Oreochromis niloticus: one gene and its partners. The protein of the gene in region 1 purifies or fractionates together with the protein of each later gene. This does not show direct contact. Links are inferred from orthologs where the notes say so. Each region holds a gene or a part of one and is shown in the gene's direction. Other genes may lie near its edges.

Region 1 (7,176 bases):
AAATGTGAGTTTATTAGATCTGCAAATTTTCTAAATTTGTTTTTATTTTCATTTTTTTTACAGCTTTCCAACTGAGGTTGTATTTCATAAAACTGTTAAAGAGGAGGAAAAACACTTTTCAGACTAATTTATTACTTATTACACACAAAATACATTCAGGTATAACATGAAACATGTTAAATCAGTAAGAAGGTAAAGTGTAAAATGACTGCTTCCCTGCTTTTAGTATCACCCACTTTCTAATTTTCCATTTTCAGTTGTTTTATTAATTGTTTGTTTGGGTTTTTTTTTTCTTATTTCCACTTTGTGTAAATAAATTCTTATACTTTATACAGAGTAAACTTAATACGGAGTCATTTTGACAGTGATGTTCTCTCATGCCTGTGAGACTATTCAGGCTGCACTACATGTGACCCCTCATGTGCTCCTCAACAGAGTTCAGGAGGAGAAAAAGGCCTCACACGGAGCACCTGACTTAACATACCACATACCATAAATAGGCTCATTTAGTCTCTACTTTTTATTATTTTAATAAATTTGTTCCTGGGTTTCGGAGAATTTATGGAATTAACACAGAACCTTGTTTCGTGAAATCTGATCATTTTCTGCACAAATTATTTGACATTATAAATATTTCTCAATTGCACTTAACAACAAGGCCTGTAAAGCCTGGAATCCTCAAAAACTATTTCAGCACAATCAATATAGAGTGTGTCAACAAAACTGAAGTCAAACAGTCACACAGGCTTCTCTTTTCACGCACTATTAGAAACTGAGGGATGTGATTTAGAACTGACCCCAAACCAGATCAATAAAGCCATCTGGTATATGAAAAGTACCAGACTAGACAGTCAAATCAGTTCATGGCCACAGCAGCCATCAGTAGTCATTCAGCGTGTTCAAATGGCTTAAAACAAACTCTCCTCATTTTTTTTTTTCATCGTTTGTATTTTTCCACTAGACTAACACAAAAAGAAAATTTGCCTAAAGAGAAACCTCAAACCAAGGTAAACACGTACAGCACAAACACAAAACTTCCACTGACACATGATGGAGCATGTAGTGCAGAACAATCAGCAGGCTAATCTGCTGTATACAGGACCTGCGCCAAGGCTGCTCATGATTCACCATCAGATTATTCAGGCTGTGGGAGATCTCCTGACAGGAAACTTGCTTCCTAATTACCTCTGTCCACACAGATTATGAAACCAACTCCTCTAAACTGCAGGGAGAACGGGGAAAATCTGAATCCTCCTCCAGACACAGAAAAATATTCAGACATGTTACATGCGTCACTTTCTGTGGATCAGTCGTAATTTTACTAATGAGTGATCAGAGAATAAAAATACTCTCATGAAATGAGAACTAACATCTTTGCCGTGCTGAAAGACGTCACTTCACATATAAATATGCAACGTGGAGACGTGTTGGGCCTGCGGGCTTCGATCATGTGCAGTACTGGAATGAATGCTTTCTGTGTCTCTTAGCACCAAATGAGGGTGTTTCTTCATGCCGCAGGGGGAACCTACTGACTTAAACACAATTGCGGTTAAAATTTCAGATCAATATTGACCTTCTTTAAAGCAGACATCTGGCATACCAGAGAAGAACACGGGTGTTACCGATAACATTAACAATGAATGTGTGTCTTTCAACAACTCTGCAGCATAATCATATAACACCAGATTAGATCTACTACTATTTACACTCTTTACACTCATAATTTTGCTAATGTGATAAATCAAAATACTCTTACCATCACTAAATCCTTACAGATTTAAAGGTTTGTGACATTGGCACTGTGAAATAATCACTACCAACAACCATGCCACATTTAAATTCACTTTACCCACCTGTTTTCCTCATTCTGATGTCTAGTTTGAATTTCCGCGGGTCGCTTTGACCATGTCTATGTGCCCAATTGCAATGAGTTGCTGTTATGTGATTAGCTGATTATTTATTTGCATTAATGAGCAGTTCAGCCTGTTTGCCGAATGAGGATGATGGTGAGTGTATAGCTCTATATAACAAAGTATTGTATTTGACAGACCTGTTAAAGTCTTCCATTATAACTTTATCACAGCCAACAGGTGTAATTTAAAAAAGAAAGGGTACTACTTATGCCCTGGTTAGAGGCTAGCTCAGGGTTCCTTGTTGTTCACAAACCACAGGCAAGCTTTAACTGGTACCCAGCAGGTCATTTTGGCCCCTGAGGTGAAGAAAGTGTTAAATCCAGTTGCCCCTTTGAAAGAACACAAAGGATCTGCAGGTGGACACACATGACCAGACCCTTTTCAAAGGTATTATTTGAGTACACATGTGTCCTATTACACTGTTGATGCTGCACTGCGTTGAGGAATAATTGCTATATCAGATCCATCATTATGTCTGTTAGTTTAGTTTTTCAATCAAAACAGAGAGCAAGAGAAAAACAGTTAAAAAACAGAACTTGGAAAGCATTGCTCCATAATCCAGTGGGTCATTACAAACACATCCTGCCACTAAAAGGAGCAAATTGTTCTTCTTTTTTTTTCACTCTCACTGTGTTTGAATAACTTAGAAAGTAAAACGTCTTAGGATTAGGAAAACAGCTTTCTAACTTTTAAAATTGCTGTATGCGTGGCCATAAGATGCAGAAGAAATATTATAGATGTGAAGACAACTAATGTTTTTATTATGCGAAACACAATGTTGCTCATGCTTTTTATTTTGCATTGGATTGTGTATATGTTTGAATAATTGATCATATTTGTGCAGTACACATCTATAAAACTGTGACTTGTGGCTAGATTCATAGATAGAAAGACAGATTCATGAAATAGTATGCCTTCTGTACACTTTATAATCTGTTCTAGTCTTTCCGACTAGTGATGTTCGATTCGTGAACGAATCGTACAATACTCGAGAATCACTTTACTGACTCGTGAATCATGATTCACAAGCACAACTGACTCACTGACTCATCCCTGTTGCTGTTAGCGAACTAATTCCATTAGTAGAAATATATCTAGCTTATAATTAAAATTGTGGGGAAAAAACCAACAGCCAGTTTCTTAACAAAAACATTTCTGCTCTGAACTGGAAGAAAAAACCCTGAGTAGAAGCTCACATCAAGACAATAGCTCCTCAGTTCACAGTAGCATCGCTCAGCTAGCATGCTAACAGCACATTTGAGTTACTCACCCCCTCCCTTGCTGTGCTGAATCATAGCATAAGCGAATAACTCAGGACTCACTAACCCCCTCCCTCCTGGCTCACAGCTCAAATGAGTTGAACGAATCACCGAATCACTCACCCCCTCCCTTGCTGTGCTGAATCATAGCGTAAGGCGAATCACTCACCCCCTCCCTCCTGGCTCACAGCTCAAACGAGTTGAACGAATCACTCACTCACTCACCCCCTCCCTCCTGGATCACAGCTCAAACGAGTTGAACGAATCACTCACTCACTCACCCCCTCCCTCCTGGCTCACAGCTTCTTCTTCTTCTTCTTGGTTGGCAACCAATGTTGAGGCGCTTTACCGCCCCCTGGCTCACAGCTCAGTGGACATTTAGATGAGAAAATATATATTTGACACATTTAAGGATAATACCAATAAAATAAAATAAAAATAAATAAATGTTCCCTTTAGAATTTTTTTGCTCTTTTTTGCTCTAAAGAAAATAGTTGTTTTCTTTTACAATCATTCATCTTAGCAGTAGGATTTACATTAGAAGAGAAACAAATTAAGTTTGAGTGAAAATATACACTTTTGCACTCTCTGGTAAACTGACTCAGTGACTCAAATGACTCAAGAAACCCGATTCACTTTGGTGAGTGAAACTCGATTCAGTAAAAAGAATCGAATTTACCATCACTATTTCCGACGTAGTTTACGTATAACGACGTCGCCGTCCAACCATGTGACCTGTGAGGGTGTTTGTTAAGTGTATCCTTGTTATCCCGATACGACACCCCTCTATAGCACGACTTGCACCCTTTTGTTAAACAGAAGCTAAGAATTTAAAATTAGCCGATAAAAAAAATGTTTTAAAATTATTTATTTAATCGATAAGAGCAGTACCATGCATAACAATTTTTCAAATAGGACTCAAAGTGAAAAGCCTTTAGACGACCGCCCACCTACACCTATCGGTGTGTCTGGAACACAAAAACGAACGCCTCCAGTGTAACGCGGGAAAGGCTGTTGTGTTGCTTCTGAGTTTTTTTTTCAAACGAGACGCCACCGCCGCGCGAAACCACACATTTTACGGATATTGTTATGAACAGCGTCTGCAAATGACCCTTTCTTTTGTTTATAGCTACTTCGCGCTGACCTGAGATAGTTTATCCTCAGTCAGAATTAAGTCTTAAACCTGTGGCGCGTGCGGACCGGATGAAGAAGCCTTGAGCAGCAGTTACATGGTTATATGCGAGGTTTGCCTCAGTAGCTACCCAGCAGTCGTTAGCTTCGACACAAAGAGCTAAAAGGCTAATTGCCGCTTAAAGACCTGCGTTTGGTACGAGATGGACTCCTTTCAGAAAGTAGAGAAAATTGGAGAGGGCACGTATGGGGTGGTTTACAAAGCCAAGAACAAAGTGACGGGAGAAACTGTCGCTCTGAAGAAAATCAGGCTGGACACGTAAGTAAACAAACTAATGTTGTTTATCCTCGGGTCACCAGACTAACGTTAGTTTTCAAGTTTTACTGTGCGTAAGAGTTGATGAAACTAGTTTACCCACCTCGTGGCTCCATCAGGGCGTGACTGCTTCATCGGTTAACTTCCTACAACCACACTGGACATAAGGCGCAAAGTCTTCATGACCACAGATGGAGCAGTCCTTACATAGGACATCTACATAACCTTACAGCTCATATGAGCTTGTTGTGTTGTATTAACGTGTAACTTGTTATAATATAAAAACATAATCCCTAAATAACAGTAAAGTGTCCCAAAGCTAAATCATCATCATTTTCCACAGGCTGCATAAGAAAACCTTACTGAAAATTCAGATGTGCCATTAGTCAAAGTTGCTTGCTTTTTGTGACCTTTGTTTCAAACCAGAGGAAGCTAAATCATTGACGTGTCTTATCTTTGTGTTTGCTAATTTGTAAGGCGCACTGCTTAAAGTACACAGAGTAGTGCTGTTGTTTCTTTCAGCTTTCAGGACTTGATCAGCTGTCAAACCGCCAGGATACTAAAGTACATGCTTTGCTTAGATAAAAACCTGTTTCTTTTACTGTTTGTTCATTTCAGGGAAACAGAGGGTGTACCAAGCACAGCCATCCGGGAGATATCGCTTCTCAAAGAACTCAGTCACCCAAATATTGTCAAGTAAGTGCTTTATGTTACAGCTATGTCTAGATCATGCTTGCAGTATTCTTGTTTTACTTGTTTGATGTTGCTTTTCTAAGCCAACTTACCTGTCAACATGTTCCAGATTACGCGATGTTATCCACACCGAGAACAAGCTCTATCTTGTTTTTGAGTTTCTTCACCAGGATTTAAAAAAGTTTATGGACTCCTCCTCAGTCACTGGTATCCCACTGCCTCTAGTAAAGGTAACCATCACAGCAGATTTGAATTAATACTTTCAGCAGTTAATTCTGCTAAGAATTGTACTCTGGAAGTCAGGCTTGACTCAACCGAGCATATATTGCTGTGTTTGCAGAGCTATCTTTTTCAGCTGCTGCAAGGCCTGGCTTTCTGCCACTCTCACAGGGTTCTCCATCGAGACCTGAAGCCCCAGAACCTCCTCATCAACGCCCAGGGTGAGATCAAGCTGGCTGACTTTGGCCTGGCAAGAGCCTTCGGAGTACCCGTCCGCGCATATACACATGAAGTAAGGCGTTCACAACCTACCTAAGTAAATGTTAGAGTTATAAAATTATAAACGGCTAGAACTCCAGATGTGCTTGCTCTGCTCTCATGTGGTCTTTACTATGTAGGTTAATGGCACCTAAAATTTCTTAGCTCAGTGCATGCCACAACTGTTTGCTCCTGTGATGTTTTTCAGGTGGTAACACTTTGGTACAGAGCCCCAGAAATTCTCCTGGGCTGCAAGTACTACTCCACAGCCGTTGACATCTGGAGTCTTGGATGTATCTTTGCTGAAATGGTAACATACTTTAATTATTAACAGCAAAAAAGAAAAAGCTCCAAAGTGAACAAAAGACACCAACCATGTCTCCCTGCCCACAGGTTACCAGGAGGGCTTTGTTCCCCGGTGACTCGGAAATAGATCAGTTATTCCGAATCTTTCGTACTCTGGGAACGCCTGACGAGACCGTCTGGCCCGGAGTCACATCCATGCCTGACTACAAACCAACCTTCCCCAAGTGGGCTCGGCAGGATTTATCAAAAGTGGTGCCTCTTCTTGACGAAGATGGAAGAGAACTGCTCGGGGTGAGAACATTTCTGATTTATTAGCACTTTTATTATATATTCATGGCCAAAGACATTGGTCCTCTATCTGCTTTGCATATCTAAATATTTTCTCCTGTGAAAGTGTCCCTTTCAGACTAGAGAGTTGAGGATTGTGCAGCTTGAACAGTGTCATGAACTCCATGACTTGTGTTAATTTTTGACTGAAGCACTTGGCTGTATTCATTGACTGCTTTTCCTTTTTTTCAATCTTACAGGAAATGCTGAACTATGATCCAAACAAAAGGCTGTCTGCCAAAAATGCTCTTGTGCATCGATTTTTCCGTGATGTCTCCATGCCACTTCCCCACCTCAGACTCTGAGTCGTGCAAAATAACAGGCTCTTTTAATGCCAGCTATATCTAAGCAATAAAGACTCTCCATGCTTCAGGTTCATGACTCAAATGGACGGGAAAAAGTGGACACTACAGAACACATTGGATTCTTCAGTAACTAAAACCAGCCCTCGAGAAGCAACTTGTCGTGAGAGTTTCACTGTTTCAATGTATATCATAATTTTGAGGATTTAAGTGTAATTTTCAATATAATTATTTTGCATATTTATATGCAACTTGTCATATTTGAAGTATTTATGATGGGCTTTGAGTCAGCGCAGGTTAGGTAGACCCATTCTATTTGTATACCATTATAGTTCCAAATTTTAATGGTATGTTGTCTTTAGCATGTCCATCTTGAAGTAATAGGTTAGAATTAAACGTGATCAAACAAGTTTGTGGGGTAGTGCAAATAACGGTGGCTGAGCAGCAGCTGA
Region 2 (7,715 bases), on another chromosome or scaffold:
TCCCAAGTGGACCCCTGTCACTTAATTGTTACGTATGTTATTAATACTGTTTTTTTTCCCCAAAGCATAACCAGGTAGGTGTTTTTAAAATAAAATAGGGCAGCTCCTACCAAAGAGAGCAGAACTGATTTTTTTCATAACATTTGTCCAGAATTGCTCTCAGAACCTTATATAAATTTAAGGTAAAAAAACAAACAAACAAAACAAAGTCATGATTAATCATTTAAGATAACCAGAAATGTGGTAAAATCTCACCCCTGTGAACATATTGCTGGTTCACTCCCACAAGTCTCAGCCACTGAGATGCGTTGTGATCGTTGTGGCAGACTTAGACTCTGCCTCCGGTCTGAATGGCTACGTCTGATAAAGGGTCGTGGCCCATGGACAGATGCAGGAGTCCTCCCACGTGTCTCAAAAGTACGTAAGAGGAATGAAACTTTGGTTGAGGTCCATGCTTGCGGGGGCTTGGTTACTGAACAAGGCTGGGCTTCAAACATGGATGGAGAAACGGGACAGAAGACTGAACGTGCATTACTAATTGTCCTGGCACTTGATGAGTCTTCACTGCTATTTTCCCTTGACCATCTTTGTATTTTTGGCGAAGCTGGGGGAGATGGTGCTTTGAAAGGGTATGAAGCGACTGAGTTTGAGCTCGAAATGTTCTGCTTTGAAATGGGTGGGCTGGGGAGTCTCCTCTGAATAGCAGGTGGTGTATGAAGTGTTCTGTTAAGAGAGGGGCTAGATGAAGAGGGTGGAGTAGGCTGATTTTTGAAATTGTGGGGACTGGGAAGTCTTCGATGTAAGCTGCTTGGAGTAGAAGGTGTGGAAGGCAACATTCGCCCTCTAGACACAGGTGGGGTGGCAGGTGTTTGGCTAGTCTCTACCGAAGCAGGCACAGAAGATGCTGCGGTGTTGGATCCAGGCACTGAAATGTTACCACCATCTTGTATGTCTCTCAATTCTGTTTGAGTGGCAGACGGTCCTACATAACTTGTTGACAATTTCTCTGACTGAGAGTCTGAAGAGGGTTTTAGTTGTATGCTCTTTCTGAGTTGCTGATATAAAGAATCCTTTTTGATTTCCAAATCTGCCCGTTGTTGAATGTCTGGTTGATTGACCTTAGACAGAGGAAATGTGTCTTGTTGTTCCACTCTAACAGGGGAAATGTGTTTGGAAGTTTGTGGCAAGCCTCCTTTGCTTGGCAGTACAGTCACTGACTGAACTGAGGCCTTCAATCGTTGTGATATTACACCCCTTTTCAACAAAGGTGATCTTCCTACTTTTGTTGCACCATCTGCTGCTACACTAGCTGATGTACTCTGAGCGCTTTCAAAGGAATTGTCCAGTAATACTTCTATTGCTGGTGGAGGAAGACTATCCAGATCTAAATCTGTTTTCTCACATGTTGTAGATTCAGACCTACAGCTAGTTATGCCAGCAGTCAGCACGGCTTCTACATTTCCTAAACCGGGTAACACTGGAACACCACATTTTCGCACACCTTTGAGAGGCCCCAGGACTTTAGGACCTTCTAGTTCTTCTATTCCTTGACTGAATGTATCAATCAGTTTTTTGACTGAATTCCTACCTCTTTGAAGGCCAGAAGATGGCTGGGGTGATAAAGGCGGGCTAGGAGGTGGAGTTGCTTTTATAAGACCCTTGGGTATATTCTTGTCTTTTTGTTTATCATCATCAACTTCACTGGTTACCTCCTGTTTTTTACTATTGGACTTTGTAAGACTTGCCTTGTCTTTAGGTGGTTGGGGGTTGTTTTTCTTTTCTAATGAGGGCTGTCTCCGATTTATTGCTGGAGATTGTGCTGGTGAGTTTCCTTGGTTTCGTTTTAAAGGATCAGTCCTTGTTTTTCTTTCTTCTTTGCTTTTATTTATGCTCTGCAATCTCCGGTTTAAATCTTTCTGGGTCCTTTCTAGTTCAAGAAGAGTAGGATCTTCCCCTTTGCTCCGTAGGGAATCTGCTGACCGGGAACGCTGACCCCTGTTCACTGGGGTCTTTTTCACTTGTGCCTTTCGTACAAGTGCTGCTGTTTGAGGCCTCCTTGGAGATCGTACCTCATCATCTGTCCACTCCTGTGTGCTAGATTTTGTGCTCTCTGATGCCTTTGTTTTAGAACTAGGGTTTTGTGACGATACAAACTGTATCCTACCACTTATTGCATTTTTCATTTTCATAGTCATTTCCACATTTTGAGGATTTTCTATCCTCTTTGGGGGTAAACGTCGAGGTTGTTGTAGCTCACAGTCTACAGGAGAACAATTTGATTGTTTTTGAATTGCTTCTTGGATATCTCCTATATCTCTGTCCACCTCATCATAATCATTGACATCCTCTTCCCCGTACTCTGTGGAGACAGATCCTAGCAATGAGTCTCTTTGGTCATTAGCCATTATGGTATATGTAGAACCTAGTGAGTTGAGTGAGGTTAGGGACACACTGGGACTTATTTGACCCCGAAGCCTTCTCCTTGACACTCTTCGCACAGGACTGACAGGAGTAGCTCTATTTGTCCCGGTAGACTCACAACTCTCTCGTCTTTGGCGTCTCTCAGATCCAGCAAGGGATTCATTCTCAGCCCCAATTCCACTGTCCTCACTAAAGAGAGCTGAATCCTCTGGCCCAGGCTTGTGCAGAGAGGCCATTTCAATGCGGGATAAGAGTTGCATTAACCTACTCTCTGTTGCACGTTTGACTTTAAGTTTCTCCTCTAAAAGCTCTGAAACTGAGGCAAAATACTCAGCTGCCTCTTCTAAAGCACAGTCCCCAATTCTTCCAACAGTCTGGCTCACATTTCTCATTCTCTGTGTGGTGTACTGAAGCAGCTGCTGCAACAAATCCGGTGGGGGTTCGATATTAGGAGAGCCAGACTTCAGAGGGGTAGAGGATGAGAGATTTTTCATTTGGCTTGGCCAAGCAAGATGTTCACCATTTTCTTTTAAAATTTTTTCTCCCTCCTCCACCATGTCTTCTAGTCCCTGAATTATTTCCTCGTAACGTAGAGCCATGAAGGCAACCATAGGCTGAACAGAAACCTGAGTTTCAGCTGCTTGTTCTAAGAGTCCAAGCAAAACATCATATTTGTTTATGCTAGGATTCAAAAAGGCATATGCAGCTTGGTGAGCTTTTACCAAGGGTTCTGGAAAGTCCACTTTCTGCTCTTCAGATAGTTTGTCTTTGTCTTTCTTTTTAAGAACTTTTGCACCTTTGGCATTTTTCTTTGGTTTCCTGTTAAGCCTTTTGTCTGCCACATCCTGTTTGTCATTGTTTTTCTCTTTCCTCTGTGATACTGCGCTTTTTTCTGTTGCTTGATTCCCCAGCTTATCTATGTTAACTGCTTCCATATTCACTTGCTCGGTATCAAGCCTCTTTTTCTGTGGTGTCATGTGTGACTCTTTCTGAAGTACCTGGGTTTGTCCACCTGTCTTCTTTTCCTTTGTATCTCCATTTGTAGCTCCAGATGAATCATGATTTTCACCATCTTCAAACTGTGGATCTCTGGAGTTGTCTTGAGGTGCAGGGGGTAACATTCTCCCCTTCCTCATGGCACCCAGAGTGCCAAAATTGTTACCTTTGGATGGTGAGCAGCCCATTTCTGCTGTACAGGGTGATTTTTTCTCTCTTCTCCCTGGATGACACTAATACAGACAGTGCAGTAAATTGTGTAAAAAATAGCAAAGATTCTTAGCCACCAGCTGTCATTTTCAGATGGCTGATGTCGTTGACTCGTTGAGTAAGATCCCTTTCCGCAACTAGACTGCCAAAACAAAACGTGGATAAATCCATTTTACAAATTGCTTCCAACTGTCACAGACAGACAAAATAAATCCACAGTTTGGTGGCCATGTTTAATAAAATTTCCTTGGAGCATGTTCGAAATAAACATCCCTCTGCACCTTATGAAGGACAAGCAGCTGAAAGGATTAGTGAGTCTTTCAGTGAACTCCTCAGCCTGCACATATGTCACGTTAAGTCATATAAAACTCACCTACTTCTAAGAACTTAAGCTCATTTGGGTAATGAAGGCTGGCTTCAGGTGGGTTTTTTATAGCCTGCGAAACAATACATCCTAATTTAGCCAATAGAAAAAAAACAGAAAAAAACAGAAAGAAAAACAGAGCATTTTGTTTTCATCTGAATTAGAAAATGTGCCACACTGATTCTATTTTATCTACATTTGACAACATTAAATCAAATATAGTTGCATATTACACATCTTTCCTTTCCCCCCCCTTACTTAAATAATCAAATGAAATGAGAACAAACCACCAAAACTAACTACTAGACTAAATAAATAAAGTAGGAGTAAATAAAGTTTATGATTTACTCCTTTGTGATTTTGCCTCCTAACAATTAACTTGCAAAAGTTTCCCTTATATAAGATCAGTTATCCCCAACGTAAAATAACCGTTTGTTACAGCACCTTGAATGTAACTCAAACACAATAAACAACCACAAAACACAGAAAAAAATAGCATAAATAAGTAGATTGGTAGCCTTTGTTGTCTAGTTCAACAAAATAAAATGAAATATAACAAAACAAATATCTCATTAAGAGAAAAAGTCATTAGAAACTGAAATGTGACTTTTACAGTCTAAGTGTTTGGTGTGTTTTTAATAGTGTTCTTCATATTTACATTGTTCGGCATGTTAATAATAACTCCACACAGAGATCGCCATAAGCAAAGAAAAAGTGGCGCCACTACGTGCTCGTCCTCGCGCGCAGGTGCACCGCTGGGTGATTGGCACAGATCTCGAAGCGCGCTCCAGAAACTGTCAGAGCTGCCAACTACTATCTCGTCCGGTCAGCGTCCTGAAGCGACTGCTTTATACTCACTTTCATCTTTTAAAACGTGTTACTGGTTAGTATGACAGTTAAGCTTCTCATAAGAACAACACTTATTTAATCTTTTAGCGTCTCTTTGTGCCGCTAAAAACAGTCGTCACTTAAATTGGGTGATTTTTTTTTTCTTGATTTTTTTAGTCAGTTTTCTAGCTAGCTGAAAGCTTATGTTGCTGAAGAGCTGCGGGCTTTCTCTTTCTTTTACTGCCTATTTTTAATGACGTACAGATAACCTGCCTAACTTTAAACAAGTGTGTTATTCGGAAAAATGTATTATTAAATAATGTCCCCATTTTGCTACGCGGCAATCCAAATCATTTAGGGAAATTAAGCATACGTGTCATTCTAGTTTTGCTTTAGCCACGCTCATCAAAGTCCGTATTGATAGAGACACCATAGCAGACCCCTCCCCAAGGCCCTTAATTTTTAAATTGCGTCTCGAAAAATGTCTGAAAAGAGAGAAACATTTAGCTCTTTAAATGTTTTTTGAGCGCTAATGATGGTAAGAAGCTCGAATTTGGCACACTTTAGTGGACCCCTTTGACCCTGCCCCAAAAAACTCTGACAGACTAAAGTGATGATGCTCACTGCTCATACTTTTTCCCTCATTTCCAGTCATAACACACCAGAGGCCTCCTTTCTGCGGATGATTCAAGCTGAAGCATGATGAAAACTCCTCCCTCTGTTACCCTTCGGGTCAAACGCAAATATGTTCGCCAAATCAGAAGAAACCTCAGCCTGAGCAGACACAGTGGTCAAAACACCCAGGGTGTGGTGTGGAGTATCCAGTCAAACCAGGGCGACCTGTATTTTACCAAAGTGCCTCAGTCAACTGTTGTCCAGCGGCAGGAAATGGCAGCATATTTCCGTCTTTTTGGTAGATAAATATTCTAACAAGAAAGCAGGATGCGCTCAAGAAAATGTGAAATTTGGTTTAAATTCTCATTTATTAACATCTCTTTGTCTACAGAGGATGACCTGATAAAAGACTTTCTAAGGTTGGATGGTTGCTATAAATTGACAGACAAGGTAAAGTTATTACTTTGATGAAAGCTACAAAACTTTCTTATGCTTTATATTAAAGTGACACCATCTTTTCCCTCTATTTCATCAGTACCTCCTAGCCATGACCTTTGTGTACTTCAAAAGGGCCTGCTTCACTATTACTGAATACACCAGAAAGAATTTTTTCATTGCACTGTAAGTTCAGAGAAAAGCCTGAAAATCCTGCTCCTGTATTATATTCTGTCATGAAAAGGAAACCTTGTTTGCTTCTGCTTTTATATGTGATATTTCTTGGCAAACCTACAGCCCTGAACTCTGCTCTCGCTCTCCTCCTGTAGGTATCTTGCCAACACCATGGAGGAGGATGAGGAGGAGAGCAAGTATGAAATTTTTCCGTGGGCATTGGGCAAGAACTGGAAAAAACGGTTTCCCCGCTTCCTTGAGCAGCGAGACAAGCTGTGGGCTCGCATCGAGTACAGAGCTGCTGTCAGCAGGCGCTGCTGTGAAGAGGTACACACAAGTATAATTGCCTGAGGAGACTGATAAATGGTGCTTCTCTGGGAATTTTTAAGGGTCTTGTTTTTGCTGTGCAGTGCCATTTTTATTGCTTGGGTTTAATGCCAGACATTCCATCTCTAGTGTCTGTGGGTGTGTTTTGCAGTGACATGATTTATTTATTTTGTTTGTTTTTTTTTGTTTGAGCTGTATTTATTTCTTCGACCTCTGTCTTCTAGGTGATGGCCATTATGTCCTCTCATTTCGTGTGGCAGCGGCAGCGTTCCGATCACCATGGCGGTGCCCAGCGACAGTATAATGATGGCGACCGTGTCCGTTTTCCCCGTGGGCCCTATGCCTCACCTGTGTCCTGTTCCCTCTGTAAGCGTGACACCAGAATAGGCCACAACTCCTCCCTCCAGAGGCTCAGCTGTGCAAATCCCAAAGGAGGTACCAAGTACATATAACTATTGCTGGTATCTGTGTTCACTGTGTGGTTTATAGTGTAAAGAGCTGCTCAGTATAGGATGCCCAGTTAAGTTTAAAACCTACGTTCAGGAAGCCCTGCAATCCAAACTGCAGAAATAATTTCCTCTTCAACAAAAACACATAATGTTAGTGTTTTTTGCACTTGAACCTATTGTCCCATTAAGTGGATTAGTGGGAGCATTCACTCACTCATCCAAATAACTGAATTCAGATGTTCCAGTCACTTCTATTGCTACAGGTGTATAAAATCAATAGCCCCAGGCATGCAGACTGCTTCTATAAATATTTGTGAAAGAATGGGTCACTCTCAGGAGCTCGGTGAAGTAGTACTTTGATAGGATGCCCCCTGTGCAACAAGTCCAGCTGTGAAGTTTCCTCACTACTAAATATTATATAGTCAACTGTTAGTGGTTTTATAACAAAGTGGAAACGACTGGGAACAACAGCAACTCAGCCACAATATAAGGAACACAGGACACTTATTTACAGTGCTCGTATGTATACTGATAAAGCTCTGCAGTTAAGATTTAAACTCATACCTAACTACAGGTTTCCATCTTTTTTCTTAGGGAATGATTCTTCCGGCAAGTCCACATTGAACACCTTCATGGACTGGATTAATGAGTAGAGCATCAGCGACTTCCTGTTTAAATCAACCAAGCAGTTAATGCTTCCTTTACTGGATTTAATATCACTTTACTCTGAAGTAAAAGTCTGAATCCACAGTTTGTCAGTCGCCTCTAAAGTTAACAAGGTACTCAAAACATATTTTAAGTACAAGTGACAACGATGAGCTTATGTCATTTAAAACAAGCAAGTTGGCTGTTTGTGGACACAAAACCCCAAAAGATTGTTAGTGTGAAACCTAGAT
Region 3 (7,999 bases), on another chromosome or scaffold:
AGCTACACACCTCTTACTTAAATTGCATTAACAGCCAACACTAAAACCTCTGCCATCCTTACCATACACAAAAATAAATCAGCGGAAGTCTGTATGGCCACACTGACAAAAACGGCAATAACTTCAAGCTCCTGCACTCCCAGCAGAACTTGATGTGTGCCAAAACACATATCTGCTCTGTTCCTGGCACGGTTCTAATGTTCCCTGCACTCCAAGGTTTGTATATACTGCTCTGCTAGTACTCAATGTTACATAATGTTTCAAGTAACCACTCTACTTTGTAAATATTCTCTGTTGGCATTTCCAACTCCTGCTTTTTGTGTGCAACTTTTGTACATGCACAGTGTTGTGAATAATAATCCACCGAGACACATCTCCAACCTTTATTGTAGAAAAATGTCCTCAAAAATATAAATTAACTTTATTTCTTTATAAAATAAAAAATAAATAAATGTGACTACAAAAACTGTCTCTTGATGTTCTTCAAGTAACTTGTTGCTCTTCCACGAATTCATTTAAGATGGAGTCCACCTCACTAACAAAACAACAACAACAACAACAAAAAATCATTCTTTTTCTGGCAATCGACTCTGTTAACATGACTGTCAACCGATTCAAAGAGATTTTAAGAATAAATTAATGCTAGAAATATACACAGGAAAGGATTCTAATCATTACAGTAATGGTGATAATCTAATTCCGTTTTACCTGATCTGCTCCTTCACCCATTTTCTCTGTTTGCGAAGAACTTGTAGCAAAGGATCATCTCCAAACTCTTTTTCATCCGAATCTAAAACAAAAAGTTTAATCTGAGTGAGAGGACAGATACTAAAAGCATCTATTTATGCAGCTGTTTACGGGCTAAAGACTGGTGCCTTTTGCCACCATAAGCTTACCTTCGGCCTCTTGGAAAAGCTGTGAAATGACTTCCATAGAGTTCAGTGCATTGCTTGGAGGAATTGGCGATGGTGAAGGTGCAGCGACGGTGAAGGAAGGAGAATCAGATGAAACAGGAATCCTTTTCGGAGAAGAGGAATCCACCGTAGGAAACAGTACCTCTGAAACTACCTGTTAAGGTCAAATGAAAACACCCAAGTTAATGCATATTAATTACCTTGATCACATTGAACCTTATGACCAGTTTGGCATCCAAAAAATATGTGCAGACATGCATAGTGAAGGTAGACCTGTAATTATATTCAATAAAAACTTGTGTGTATTTTATTTAAATATTTAATATATACAGTCTCCTAAAGACCAGATCTGTCAATGGCCTTTACAAATGATTAATTAAGATCTGTAAACAATCATAGATTGCCAAAGTCTGAGAACAAACACACAGCTTTCAGTTTATCAAATATACTGCAGAGAAAAAACCCCCCCAGAAAGCCCAAATATGGACACAGCCTCTGTGGCTTCAAATAAAGAAATAAAATTGCACATTTGCATGTTTACCTGTCCTAATGCATTGTGGATAGGGGATGGTGGTGGTTCGTGATCACCAGCACAGCTTTCACTGGGAAGCTCCTGTCTTCTCTCTGGTTGCTGCTGCTCTTTACATGATGTGACCTTTTTGGGAAGCTTTTGATGTAATGAATTCCTGTTTGTGAAGCATAAATCCCACAAAATGTTAACGGTATATATCAAACACATATTTTTATCACCAAGACTTTTAAACAGTGCCCATGTTTCAATAATTCACCTTGCTGATTTCTTATGCTGTCTGGCGAGCACTGCTTCCTCCTTCCCATTTACCTCTGATTGCTTCGTCCCCGTTTTCTTTTTCTTGTTCTTCTCAGACATTTTTTGGTGATCAGGCCACTCTCTCTCAGATGGCGTGGGTGGAGTGAGTGACATGCGTTCACAAAGAGTTAATTCTCCAAGGCTTTCAGGGACTTGGGTCTTTTTGTGAAGAACTTTGGTTTGTGACTCGTCTAACCTTTGTGAAATGCTCTGGTGCACTTTGGCATGAGATGACTGGATGGGACATGGCAAGACGTCACAGAGAAAATGCATGTGGGAAGGAACGTGGGCAATGCTCTGCGGCTGAGGGACTGAACCAGAAACATTGATGGTGGGGAATAGTGAAGGACCTGGAGCTGGGGGACAGAACCTCTGGGCCTCTGTGGTTTCTGGCTGGGCAGCAGTGATGTGTGAATGAGTATCTCTTTGTGAGAATTGAGGAGGTTGGGTACCCTGCTGTTCCTGAAGAGCAAATTAATGTTATTCTGTAAATTTGTGCAAAGAATATGGATAATGTAACAAACAGTTTGATTCCAACCTTGTAAGCTTGTTCACTAATGGAGGGATAGCTTAACCTCGTTGCCTGCCAACTAAATGCATGAGGACTGGAGGCTTGCACAGACAGGGGCCTCTCTCTGGCTTGCTCCATTTTCCTCCTTAAACGCCACTGGAACAATATGTCTTCCTCTGGACGGGTAGGAGGCACCAAAGAAGGCATGACAGATTTTTGGAAGGACACACCATGAGCTGAGTCTGAGCTGGCCTTTGCTGTAAATGTTAACACACTGTTTAAAACACAGCAGCACGCAAAATAGAATCTGTCTATAAATAACAAAAGGTATTCTAGTCCACACTCTTTCCCTACCAGTAGTATTTTTGAATAAACTGGGAATCAAAGGTTGCTTCACTGGCTCATCTATACTGATGGGATAGGAGAAATCTGAGCATCCCAGCCCCTCTGAGCTGACAGGGACAGATCCATCACTCACAGAACATTCACTGTTAGAAAAAAAAAAAAAAAGTTAATACAACTCAAGCCATTTATCTTTAATATTGCTCAACGGTCTTCATACCCCCTCAGAAGAAGTCTGCTGGCCTTTTCTTGAAGGTGCAGGATCTCCCTGTCATCAAATTCACCCTGGGATGTGTCGGACAAAAGCTGGGAAACAAAAAACACGTTTTTTCATATAAAGACTTGCAATACTGTGTAAATAAATCCTCCCAAATAAATAAATAAATAAAAGGATTTTAATTAAAAGGGTGATGCATTTGTTCTTAGCAGGCTGAACAACGTGTCAAATCTGGTTGCATAAACGGCGACTTCCCAGGCATTTAATAAACACATAGACCTCCAAATGGAGTGTGGTGCTGAAATGGAAATGTTTATATGCAAACTTAGTCGGAATAAAGTGTTGCTTCTGCAAACAATCAGAATCCCAGGCACTTTGGACATGCGTGGTGTAAATCAAGGGACAATGTAAACCCCATAATCCACTGTGACATCATACACAAACAATAAAAACTGAATAATTGGTGGTGCCTTTTCCCCCTATCTTATGGATCTGTTATTTTTTCAAGAAACAGAAGCACATTTGCTATAAAAAAATTGATAAATTATGGCTTATTTCTTCTTAGCTTATAAATACAACTTACACTATTGGATCCTCTGTAGGGAGAAAGGGATCTGTTACGGTCACGCTGTGCAGATGGATCATAAAGAGCAGGATCCTGGTCCTCTTTCAGAAGTTGGATAACATCTTTTCAGAGAAATGAAGTACACAGAAAGATTTGATAGAATTAAGCAGCTGGTAATGGGGAATAAAATACACCAATGACTGTAAATAAAGTGTACCTTCGTCTGTTGTTTTAGTTGGTGTTGAACTGCTGGGTGATGAATGTGACATCCACCAAAAAGGAGCCTGCTCTTCTCCACTGGCAGAAGCCACCTGATGGCGCTCCTCTCGACTCTGTGGGCGACCATGGCGAAAACGCTCTACGTATCTGGCAAAGCAAAGGTCAGATTTGGTTACAAGAAGTCACGTGCAAAATGAAATAAAAATAATCAGGGTCACTATGACATTGTCATATTTAATCATGAAAAATTGTCCCGTTGTCATTTTGAAACTATTTTTTTAGTTCTGTTTAAGAAAATTACATAAGGCATTAAGACATACTTTGCCAGCACAGAATCCTCCTGGCCTCCTTGAACTTGGGAAACACTGGATTTCCCCATTTTTCCAGACTGTTTGGGTTCGTCCATGTCAGATGAGGCAGTATTTCTATCAGGAGAGAATCCAACGACAGTGGAGGCCTGGGACTCTTTAAGAACAGGTTGTCCATCAATGGAGGAAAAACGGTCATGCTTCTTAGACAGCTGCTGGCTCTCTCGGTTTAGATTATGTAACTTTGTTCTGGATCGCTGGTTTAAACGTACAGGACTTAGTGTCTGCAAGAAGAACAGAAAAGGGATATATATATATCACAATGAGAATCTGTTTTTCTTGCAGTATATTAAGTGTTTTTGACAATAAAACATACAGTTTTTTTCTCTTTCTTTGAGAGGGGTTGTTTGCTGGATGGGTGGTAGTGTGCCGTCCTCACTTTGGGTGCTGCTGGGAAGGGATTCTGCTTTGTGAACACAGGTCCACTGTAAGAAGAACACATATTACTAACTATAACTTCTTCTGTTTAGGGTGCTACAAAATGTGTCATTAGATCCTCACCTGGAATTCATAGCAACCTTTGGAGGTGACCGATGAGACATCAACGACCACAAGAAAGCACACACAGTCCTTGTTTCAACGTGGGCTTGGTTTACCTCGTGCACCCCAAATCATATCAGGACTGACGTGTTAATCTGAGTGGGTTACTTAGCTAACAAAAAGACGATGGCCCCATTACTAAACTCTTCCGAGTTTACTTGTCTACACACAAAGTTACTTCAAATGCCAGAAATTCCCTTTCAGAATATAAATTACGCTTCTCCGTTAGGCTCTATGAACATCTATTTATCATTCCAATTTAACGTTCTGACTAAAAACATAGTAACTTCGCGTTTATTTTACAAACCCAGTACATTCTCGATGAAAGTGGAAGAGAGCTTTTGTTGTGTATGCCGAACGTTATTTACTACACGACATACAGCCAATAGGGAACGAATTAAAAATGATTGATATAACATTTGACCAATCATATAGGCGGCCCTGTTTGCACAGGCACCAATCAGCTAATAGGAAATTGGCAGCGCGCGGAAGAGGAAAGTCTAGTAAGGTTATGCGTTTGTCAAAAATAAGCTAAGTTAGCAACAGTAGTTTGGCCATTACCCTGCAAAGCTTGGTATAAATCATAAACGACTGCTGTGCTGTATCTTTCTATTAACTATATGGAAGTCGATAGGGATAAATGTTATTTGCTTAATGGTTTGAATAGCGTTATATAGCTTAACTGTTAACCAGTGGTTACAGCTAACTGGTTGTAAACGGTACCCACAGCTAGCTTGGCTAACGGCGCCGTTAGCAAGGAATCAAACATAATTTATTGTAAATCTAAAGAACCGAAACAGCAACCGTGTGGTTTTACAAGTCCGTCAGTTCCCACGGGGTGTCTATAGAAAGGCGGACACAATGCAACACGTCAAGATCAAGACTGAAAGGCCAGGTAACAGCAGCTCTCAATATTTCCTGAAGCCTTGTGTTTTCAGCTTTTCCAAATTTTGTGTGGTACAAATTCTTGTTTTGGATTGTTTTGGAGTACATTCGCCTGTAAGTTTGAGTGGTTCGGATTATACAGGATTCTTAAAAGCTAAGTAATACAGGGGGCGAGTGTCACCCAAAGTGAGTATTGTTGTTGTCATTAATTATTTCGTTATTACTTCTGCAGACTTAGACGGGGCTGGTGCGCGCAGCAAATTAGATGCTGTCTTAAAGGGACTGGTAGAGAAGAGCGAAAATGAAAGGTTAGCAAAATTAATTGTTGTGCATATAATTATTATAGAATCGAGTTATTCTTAATAACAAAACTAATATAAACATGTTTTCAGCAGGGAACAAAATGAAGGTGATCCGGGAAAATTGTCAGCCGACTCTTTGAACAAGTATGGACCAGTGATTTTGGTTTTATTTAGTTTTTAATGATCTGTTAATAGAATATTTTACAATTGGGTGCGCTGATTCAATGATTTTACTTCAACATTTATTTTTTAATTGCAATTTATGCATATTCCACCATTCTCTTTAGGGATTTATCACCGACATCTGCTGGAAAAAGGCAAGTATTTATGTTTTAGTTAAACTTGACTTGTCAGTAACTTTTTTGTAATTACTAAGTAAGTAAAATTTTATTTATATAGCACCTTCCAATACAAAGATCACAAAGTGCTTCACAAAGAAATACCAAGGCATTTAAAACAGGGCATATTTAGACTTTTTTATCATTTTGTCTGGAAATAAAAAATATAATTTTACTTGAATTGTATGAGAAATTAGTTTGAATCTCTTTTAAGCTCCAAAAATTTATTACTTTAAAAAATCTATTTGTTGCAGACCGTCGGCTCGATTTCCACAGCACCGGAGAAAGAAGCGAAAAGAGATGGATGAGAGCATTCCAGAAAGCAATCAGCATAAACAAAGTAAATTAATGAAAATAATGAAAAATGATTGGAATTTGTCTTTGATGTGCCTTGGTTACTGTGTAACCATCTTGTCTGTTGCACTTGTGACCATTTTCTTACCTTTAATTTATTTTTCTCTTGTTCTCCTTTTAATAGATGCCTACGTTATCAAGTTGTTTGACCGCAGTGTGGATCTGGCTCAGTTCAACACCGCCACCCCACTGTATCCTATCTGCCGTGCATGGATGAGGAATAATCCTTCCGTTCGAGAACCAGCTGCTTCCCCCAGCTCCCCACAGAGCATGGTAGAGGAAGAGGTAGGATCATAAATGGATTAGATGCTGGAGATTTTATTCAAATGTACAACCAACAAATGTACAAAAAAACACAGAGGCACATTGATTTAAAGTTATACTTCACTCATGCATCTACAGTAAGTTAAAATGAGGTCTTTTACATTTTGCTAATGTGGAACTTTGCAGGGTAGAGTGTAAGGGCCCTTTCACATAGGATGTGGGACGCGCAGCCCTGCGCTCTGAAACCCGTTCATTTCTATTGCTTGCGCCACACAATAACGTTGTACTGCTGTGCCAACCAAAGCGCTGAGCAAAGCACAGCCCAAGCGTGCCAGCGAGGAGTACTCGTGCATGCACTGCGTGTTGTGACTTACCTTCACGTGACCAATAGAAACAATGCCTACAGCTGCTCTAAGTTTAACCAAATGATTAAGGAAAACATTCTGTGTGTATCTGAGTTTGATGAACTTTTTGACACAGGTTTATGTGCATATATAGGGATCTCCAGAGCCTTTGAGTAAGTCTTTCATTTCAGCGACTTTGGGGACCTCAAGAGAAAAGCAGTGTTGAGGAAATGACACACTCTTGACTAGTAGGATAGTTACAGGTTTCTTCTTTATGAATGAACAATACATTTAAAAAAAAATTTAATTAAACATCTTGCAGACGATATGATTCAGAGACATACATGTTTTTTAATGTAAAGGAGCAGACGCATCTAGTATATGTAGAGCGGCCGCAAAAAATGACGCACAAGCAGAGCGGCCAGTGCAACACAAATTTGGGGTCCTTCGCTCTAATTAGCGGTTAGCGCAGGTCATGCCCCATCTCATGTTAAAGGGCCTTAACTCTTTTGCAATCTCATAATTTGATCATTTCCTGATTCAATCAATTGTTGTTTCACAAGGTCTAATGTAATTAATTAAATGTAATTAAATTAATTGTTAATTTCATTGCAGTACACTGTGTGCCAAACTATTGTCTTCTTTTGTTTGCCTAAGTGCAAATGTAACTGACTGTTACATTTGCATGTTTTAATCAAGGTTATCTGAATAAGATATAATGAAACTGTTTTTAATGGATGATCCCTACAGTGACGATATTTTTGAGTTGTTTGTTTGTGAGGTGCACTATCTGATTGTGTACTCGTACTTTTGTTTTAGTAAGTGCCCCCCAAAAACAAAATGGCATGTTATGGCATCACTAAGTATTGTTGTTGGAAATAAGCGTTTAGCAGTAATCTTTTTTTTTTTTTTTTTTTTTTTCTCCCTAGGTTACGGACACAATCAACGGTAAAGGTCAGAATGTGTACCGACTTCCTCCTCCGACTGCCTGTCCAGTCAACTCCTCT
Region 4 (7,280 bases), on another chromosome or scaffold:
TAGTGGCAGACATATGAACAGCTGACCGAAGAAATTTATTTAAACTGCATTAAAACAGCGACATTAAGGAGCTGTTGTAGACATCCAAGATTGATAGGTGACCCCAAAGCCTCAAAAAAAAAAAAAGAAAGAAAGTCAGAGCAGCCATTCTGAAATGTCATTGTAGGGTAAGCACAGGTGTAATAACATTCATCATGGCACTGCTCCATTTAGAAGGGTCTATTGTGCTTGCCAGCTCACTAGAACGACTGATAGACTAAATATAACAGGGTTATAATTGAGTTTAACACTTACATGCTTATTGTAGTATGAGATGTCAAAGTGGTTATTGTGAAAAAGACCTATTTTGATAGTAACCATTAATGAATATGGCTATATTAGCAAGAAAAAATCTAAAACATTGTTTGTAGTGCTGTGGAAAGGTATTGGGTTATGCTTACAGTGTTTACTGAATAAGATAACTAACTTTGGAATAGTTAACTTTAAATATATTTTAATAAAAGTCGCATCCCAGACCTGTTGAATCAAGAAATCACATAAATAAAAACCTGTCTGACAAAGTGAAGTAGGGTAAAAGACCTCAAACAGCAAAACATCATGCAACGATTTAAAGAAACTTCAGAACAGATAAGAAACAAATTCATTGACATCCATCAGTCTGGAAGGGGTTACAAGGTAATTTCTAGAGCTTTAGGACTCCAATGAACCATGGTGAGAGCCATTATCCATAAAAGAAGAAAACCTGGAACAGTGGCGAGCCTTCCCAGAAGTCGCCGGCCTACCAAATTTACCCCAAGACCGCATTAAATCATCTAGGAGGTTACAAAATAACCCAGGACAACCTCTAAAGAACTGCTGGCCTCACATGTCTCAGTTAAGGTTTATGATTCAACAGTAAGAAAGATACGGGGGGAAAACTGCATCTATGGGAGGATTCAATTCAATTTATATAGCACCATATCACAACATCAATCACCTCAAGGTGCTTTACATTGTAAAGTAAAGACCCTACAATAATAAAGAGAAACCTCAACAATCAAAGGACCCCCTTTGGGCAAGTGCTTGGTGACAATGGGAAGGAAAAACACCCTTTAAACAGGAAGAAACCTCTGGCAGAACCAGGCTCAGGGAGGGGCAGCCATCTGCTAAGACCAGTTGTGGGTGAGGGGAGAAGACAGGACAAAAGACATGATGTGGAAGAGAGCCAGAGGTTAATAATAACTAATGATTAAATACAGAGTGGTGTGTAAACACAGTGAAAAATGTGACTGAAGGAGAAACACTCCTTCATCATCAGAAGCCCCAGCAGTCTAGGCCAATTTGCAACAAAACGGGGCCCTAACTATATTCTTAGTCAGCAAAAAGGAACATTTTAAGCCTAATCTTAAAAGCAGTCTGTCTCCCGAATTCAAAACTGGAAGCTGATTCCACAGAAGAGGGGCCTGAAAGCTGAGGGCTCTGCCTCCAACTGTACTTTTAAACCTAGTAAACCAGCAGTCTGAGATCAAAGTGCTTTATTGGTGTGATATTGTACTGTGAGGTCTTTGAGATTTGATAGGGCCTGATTATTAAGGACCTCTGATGTGATGAGAAGGGTTTTAACTTCCACTCTGGATTTAACAGGGAGCCAACGAAGGGAAGCCAGCATGTGAGAAATACGCTTTCTCTATCTCTTCCTTGTCAGTACTCTTCCAGCATTCTGGATCAACTGAAGGCTTTTCAGGGAATTTTATGGCAGCCTGATAGTAATGAATTACAATAGTCCAGTGTAGAAGTAATAAATACATTAACTAATTTTTCAGTCTGAGGATTTTAATCTAATATTGGAGATGCTATGTATGCTATGCCTTCTAATGATACTACGTAAAAGCATGTATAATATAAACAGAACTGGTCCTAGCACTGAACCCTGTGGAGCTCCATAATTAACCTTAGTGTGTGAAGAAGAGTCCCCATATACATTAACAAACCAGAGTCACACAGAGAACACAGAGATGAGTCCACTGTCAGAGGCCATAGGAAGATCATTTGAAGCCTTCATAAAAGCTGTGCTGTGATGGGCTCTGAAACTCAACTGAAACTCTTCAAATAGCCATTCCTCTGCAGATGATCAGGTAGCTGTTTTACAATTACTCTTTCAAGGCTTTTTGAGATAAAAAAGAACGTTGGACATTGTCCTATAATTTGCTAAGACCGCTGGGTCAAGTGATGGCTTTTAATATGATAGTTTAATTACTGCCAGCTTGAAGGCATGTGATACATAGCACATTAATAGAAATAGACTGATCATATTTAAGCTTTAACGATAGGACTTTGAGCAGTCTTGTAGGAATGAAGCCTAAAGTGCATGCTGATGGTTTGGAGGAACTAATTACTAAAGTTAATACAGAAAAATTCCAAGGAGAAAACCACCGCTGACCTAAAAGACCACAAAGGCTAGTCTCACATTTGCCCCAAAAAACCCATCTTGATGATCCGTAAGACTTTTTGGAAAATATTCTGTCGACTGACAAGACAAAAGTTCAACTTATTGGAATGTTTGAGTCCCATTACATCTGGCATAAAACTAATACAGGATTTCATAAAAAGAATATCAGAGCATTGGTTTATGCATCAGCCCCCCCCCAAAACAAACAAACAAACAAACAAACAAAGAAACAAACAAACAAAGAAACAAACAAAAACAACATCCAAAAACGTTTTTTGAGTGACCTAGTCAAAGTCTGGGCTTAAAGCCGATTGAGATGCTTTGGGATGACCTTAAACACGCCATTAATGCTCTGAAACCCTCCAACGTCGCTGAATTAAAACAATTCTGCAAAGAACACCAAGGCCTTGGTGTTCCCCCGGAAAAGGTGGAAGAGGTAACTAGGGAAAGGGAGTTTTGCTTAGGGTGTTGCCCCCACAACCTGGTGCCAGATACACATAAGAAAATGGATGGATGGATGGATGGATGGATGGATGGATGGATGGAGAAAATCTACCTTGCCCAGCTATTCAAGAGTCACAAATACATGACTCATATGATAATTCAAGCAAAGAAAGGCAAACGGTTAAACCCTTATGAGCTAAGAAAAACATTTGTGATTACTTTATTAAAAAAATAGTATGGTAACAGGGTTAAATAAGAGTAACAGGGCTGCACAAGATAACGGGGTTGAACGGATATATTACTTTTACTTGTAGATTATGACATATGTGTGACAAATAAATACTCAGGACTACACAGAAATGTTGTTTAATAACATCTTATATATTTTTAACATGTTTGTAATGTTTGTTTTATATGTACAGTAACAGGATTGCAAATCAGTGCTAATATTAGAGTTTTCTCAGAAAAAGATGTAAGCTGATAGTTGACTGTGAAAGTCAAGAATAAATATAGAGATGTAAACAAAGGAATTAAACTTTCCAATTACTTTCTCTTTTGGTAATATGAATATCAGGGTTTGCATTGGCTGGAATGACACAGTCTAGTTAGAAAAGACTGGAAAAAATACAAAATATATCACAGAGGACTGACCTTCAATCTAACCACGGTGTTAACACGCGGCTCAATCGTGTCACTGACTTTTTGTCAAGTCACTCACTGTTTGGCCTCTTGTTTTTCCAGCCTAAATAGGTTTCAGTAACAGGGCTGCACATAGGTTTGCAGTGCGTAATTACTCTTCTTTAATATATGTTGATGTTTGCATGTTGTAAGCTGATGATGAACAAAATCAAAACAAGAAAAAAAGTGGATTTATAACGATTTTTAGCTGTTATAAATTAGTTATCGAGAGTTTGGCAAGAGAAAAAAATGCTATTTTGATAGTTCTCAAGAAGTATTTTGTATTTATATAATATTTTGGAATTGGAACCAACTTCACACTACAAATGTATGTTGTAATCTTTTGTGCCTGGACTGTTTTCAAATTCATATGGGGGAGCAAAGAAAATCTCCTGCATTTGTACAATGGCTCACTAATAGTGACAATAGTGAGTGTTGAGACCTCTCCAGTGCACTTGCTATTACTGATTTTTGCACCAAATCAGGTGAAATTGTTTCACAATGACTCATGGCTTCCTAACTGGACAGATTTGCATCCCTGAAGATTAACTAACTTTGTGTTAAATCTTCGATACTCTGATCCCTTACGTATTTTAAGACTTGTCATATTTACACATTTTTTATGGCACACTCCTGTGCAGCAGACGGCGCTGCATGTATCACGAGGGCTCTGGTATCCACCAATCCAAAGAGCTCCAGGTTGTGGGCATGAACTATTTTGACCGCTTTGCTTTCGTCTCATTCGTGCTGTCCAATCAAGCTCCACTAAAGCGAGGCACCGCCAAGATCAGATTGTGAGAGACGCTGGTGTAGCAAGGCTAACGGAAAGTCGATAGGAAAGGCTAGCGAGCAATCTGTTAACCTGTAAGGTGCACCGGTAAGCAGCATTCACTCACCTGCAGCTTGTCACTCAGCTGACGCATATGATAGAAACCGACGTTAAATATCTGTATGACCTTCTATTGTTTGTTAAGTATATAGAATTTTTTTTTTACCGCCAATAAATACAAAGCTAGCCGTCGAGGTAAACTTGTAGCTAATTCTGGGGTTGTCGATGACAGCTGGGGGTTAGCTTCTGTGCTAACCCACTAGCTAGCCAGTGAGCTAACAAAGCGCTGAAGCACCTACTTCTTGAAGTGCAATCGCGAGTTAGCTCAGTGTTGAAATAAACATTTTGATAATAAAGACAAGTACTTTTTGCATTGCATTTAATACATCCTCTTTCAAGTCGCTAACCTACGGCATGTAGCTGACTGTAACGAAGTGAAGAACAGAGCTAGTTTTGCGGTTCACGATGATTGTAATCGACCTGATTACAGTAACGTACTTGTATTGGATCCGTATGCAACGGTTCGTTTGGAAACGAACCTTATAAAAACTAATATTTAAGTTTTAGACACCTCAAAATGGCCACCTTTCTGTTAATTTAGCGTCAGGAAAGTATTCGTAAGGGTCTTCGTGTTTTATTAAGAACAAATAAGAAAGGTTACGCGATTAAATGCGTGGAAAAATAATAATAATAATACTAAGTCGAGTGTTTTTAAATGTAACTTCCAGACAACAAAGTGTGTTATTCATTAGTTAGCTATGTGTGTTGATACTGGTTACTACACTGGCAAAAGGAGGTCAGCGATTGACAATAAAACACAATAAACTCACGGAGTATATGCAGCTGCCTGCAACTGGTATTTCAGAAGTTGTGGTTAACTGTGGCAAAACATTTTTATCGTCTGGATTAAATCCACCTTGCTGGCATCGATGGCAAACTTTGTTTACTTTTTAGTCTGCTTGACTTGGAAACGATCACTCTTTGTACAGCTAACACACAGCAAGTTATGCAAATCCTGGCATGGCTTGTTGTATTAAAAAATAAGCTTAAAAGTGAAATACTCAAAGTAAATACATTATTTCGTACTTCAAATGAACTATATAATTGTTAAAAAGTATCTCGACATTTCTTAGTTTGTTTCCTGTTTAGTGGGGATTTAGACCTCCTCTTCCTCCATTCTCAAATGCCAACAACAACAGCCGTCGAGGAGACAGAGTGCACTCGTAAGCGCATACAGTCACCACAGTTAAGCTCATTCATCGTGCGAAAGGCACGTTCACTATTTTAAGTGTTAACCCATGGTGTAGTGTAGCTGGGATCTGCAGCACGGAACCAATAATCGCAACATTTCTACATGAATCGTCTCAGAGCGTGCAGGAGCTAACTAGTAAGCTAAGACCAGCAAGCTGGGTCTACCGCTAGCTGTTAGCAGCTAGCTGCGTCCAACAAAAGATTGTTCGTGCTAATCGACATATAATATGACCGCTGTTACAGTATCATGCAGCCACAGTGCCTGGAGCCACATAGTGCTGTCTCTGTTGCGACATTATCAGTTTAGCGCTGTTGTGGTAAAGTTCGCTTGTTTGCGTGACCTGTAGCAGAAGTTGGACGGTGCCTCTCCTCCGGACGTGCTCGGTACCTGAAGTAGGCCTTGTGCACACTTAGCGTAGTAAAAGTTGTGAGCATCAAGGGATGGCTTAATATGGTTTCCCGCATATCTAGAACATTTAAAAGTACTGCTCGGTGGCTCGTTCACGTGAGATTGGTGTGAGAAACGTACATTTCTGCGCATTTTGGCTTATAAAACAAATAGTGACGCTAACATTGGTGATGTAGTTAGCTTTCTACAATGTGCTCTTAGCAAGCAGACCAGATGGGCCTTACTTCAGAAATAAGTTTAAATTTCATCTCCAAAACAAAGTGAAACACAGCTTAGCTTGGGAAACAGTATTGGGAAATATGATGTTTGGGTCAAACTGTAATTTTGTCATTATTTAAGTAATAGTTTGTTCTCTTTCTGTTTACAGGGGTCTGAATAGTGACTGGCAGAGGAAAAGTCTTTTTAACCCAAAGCATACCTCTTTTCGGTCCTTTGGGATCATGGCTAAAGATGTAAGTAAATATATACATGGTTTCATGAGAAACATCAGGCTATTTTGGCTGTGTCACCTAGACTGTAGCTAATTTTGGGTCCTTAAATTTACTGGCTGCACTTAGTCTTGTAGCGTTTTCTTTTTTCTTTTTTTTCTTTTTAAATAGACTGTGGGATTTGTTTAGTGATTTCATAGTGGAGTGGTTTATACATTTGCCTTACAAAAGATCCCCTGTTAGGTCCTGGAAGGTGACACAGTTCCACTGAATCAGGAAGGGCATCCATCCAGCATAAAAACTCTGCCAAATCAAACTTGTACAACTCACTGCGGTGACCCCTCATAAATAAGGCATCAGCCAAAAGTAGCTTCTACTGTATGTTTGTTTAACTGGACTCGTCTTCAATTCTGTGGTTTCTGCAGTATATTAAGTTGTTCTCTTTTACAGGCTGGTCTAATTGAAACCAATGGAGAGCTGAAGGTTTTCATCGATCAGAATCTGAGCCCTAGTAAAGGTATATTTTGTGAATACTTGCCTACAGAAATTGTGCATATGTGATATACAGGGCATTCTAAGCAGTATGTACAGTCTAGTTTAAGAGGCAGCAGGGCTGTTTGTTGGTAGGTGGACAATAGGGGGCAATGGTGTTTCATTCAAAAGCTTCCCTCATTAATGATCTTCTCATGTCTCCTATAAGGTGTCCTGTCCTTGGTTACTGTCCAGCCCACAGCTGCCCCTGTGGCCAAACAGCTACTACCCAAAACCCTTGGGCCATCCAATGTGAACGTCGCTGCACACATGCAAAATGTG

What was found.
Region 2: the proteins of cdk2 (region 1) and spdya purify together in Homo sapiens (affinity purification with western blotting; 7 studies listed by BioGRID). This does not show direct contact. The link is inferred for Oreochromis niloticus from reciprocal best matches to the Homo sapiens genes CDK2 and SPDYA.
Region 3: the proteins of cdk2 (region 1) and lin37 purify together in Homo sapiens (affinity purification with mass spectrometry; 3 studies listed by BioGRID and IntAct, with this or other methods). This does not show direct contact. The link is inferred for Oreochromis niloticus from reciprocal best matches to the Homo sapiens genes CDK2 and LIN37.
Region 4: the proteins of cdk2 (region 1) and tfdp1a purify together in Homo sapiens (co-immunoprecipitation; 4 studies listed by BioGRID and IntAct, with this or other methods). This does not show direct contact. The link is inferred for Oreochromis niloticus from reciprocal best matches to the Homo sapiens genes CDK2 and TFDP1.

The regions. Positions count from the first base shown.
Region 1 is NC_031970.2:24,511,545-24,518,720, forward strand, and holds the start of cdk2 (cyclin-dependent kinase 2), read left to right. Parts: upstream 1-4,157; 5' UTR 4,158-4,506; coding exon 4,507-4,622; intron 4,623-5,237; coding exon 5,238-5,315; intron 5,316-5,421; coding exon 5,422-5,542; intron 5,543-5,652; coding exon 5,653-5,823; intron 5,824-5,997; coding exon 5,998-6,099; intron 6,100-6,182; coding exon 6,183-6,386; intron 6,387-6,622; coding exon 6,623-6,727; 3' UTR 6,728-7,176. UniProt on the Homo sapiens protein: Serine/threonine-protein kinase involved in the control of the cell cycle; essential for meiosis, but dispensable for mitosis. Phosphorylates CABLES1, CTNNB1, CDK2AP2, ERCC6, NBN, USP37, p53/TP53, NPM1, CDK7, RB1, BRCA2, MYC, NPAT, EZH2.
Region 2 is NC_031983.2:24,030,086-24,037,800, forward strand, and holds the start of spdya (speedy protein A), read left to right. Parts: upstream 1-4,706; 5' UTR 4,707-4,874; intron 4,875-5,470; 5' UTR 5,471-5,518; coding exon 5,519-5,732; intron 5,733-5,825; coding exon 5,826-5,884; intron 5,885-5,969; coding exon 5,970-6,055; intron 6,056-6,198; coding exon 6,199-6,370; intron 6,371-6,594; coding exon 6,595-6,805; intron 6,806-7,413; coding exon 7,414-7,472; 3' UTR 7,473-7,715. Other genes in the region: pcare1 (uncharacterized protein C2orf71), read right to left, coding at 256-3,605. UniProt on the Homo sapiens protein: Regulates the G1/S phase transition of the cell cycle by binding and activating CDK1 and CDK2.
Region 3 is NC_031976.2:17,552,561-17,560,559, reverse strand, and holds the start of lin37 (protein lin-37 homolog), read left to right. Parts: upstream 1-4,997; 5' UTR 4,998-5,366; coding exon 5,367-5,400; intron 5,401-5,622; coding exon 5,623-5,698; intron 5,699-5,782; coding exon 5,783-5,836; intron 5,837-5,979; coding exon 5,980-6,009; intron 6,010-6,284; coding exon 6,285-6,370; intron 6,371-6,508; coding exon 6,509-6,669; intron 6,670-7,921; coding exon 7,922-7,999. Other genes in the region: hspb6 (heat shock protein beta-6), read left to right, coding at 1-21; proser3 (proline and serine-rich protein 3), read right to left, coding at 484-535, 709-790, 897-1,068, 1,456-1,600, 1,703-2,205, 2,282-2,511, 2,609-2,742, 2,817-2,902 and 5 more.
Region 4 is NC_031987.2:21,263,754-21,271,033, reverse strand, and holds the start of tfdp1a (transcription factor Dp-1a), read left to right. Parts: upstream 1-4,276; 5' UTR 4,277-4,427; intron 4,428-5,471; exon of another isoform or gene 5,472-5,766; intron 5,767-6,406; 5' UTR 6,407-6,479; coding exon 6,480-6,491; intron 6,492-6,917; coding exon 6,918-6,984; intron 6,985-7,167; coding exon 7,168-7,280. UniProt on the Homo sapiens protein: Can stimulate E2F-dependent transcription.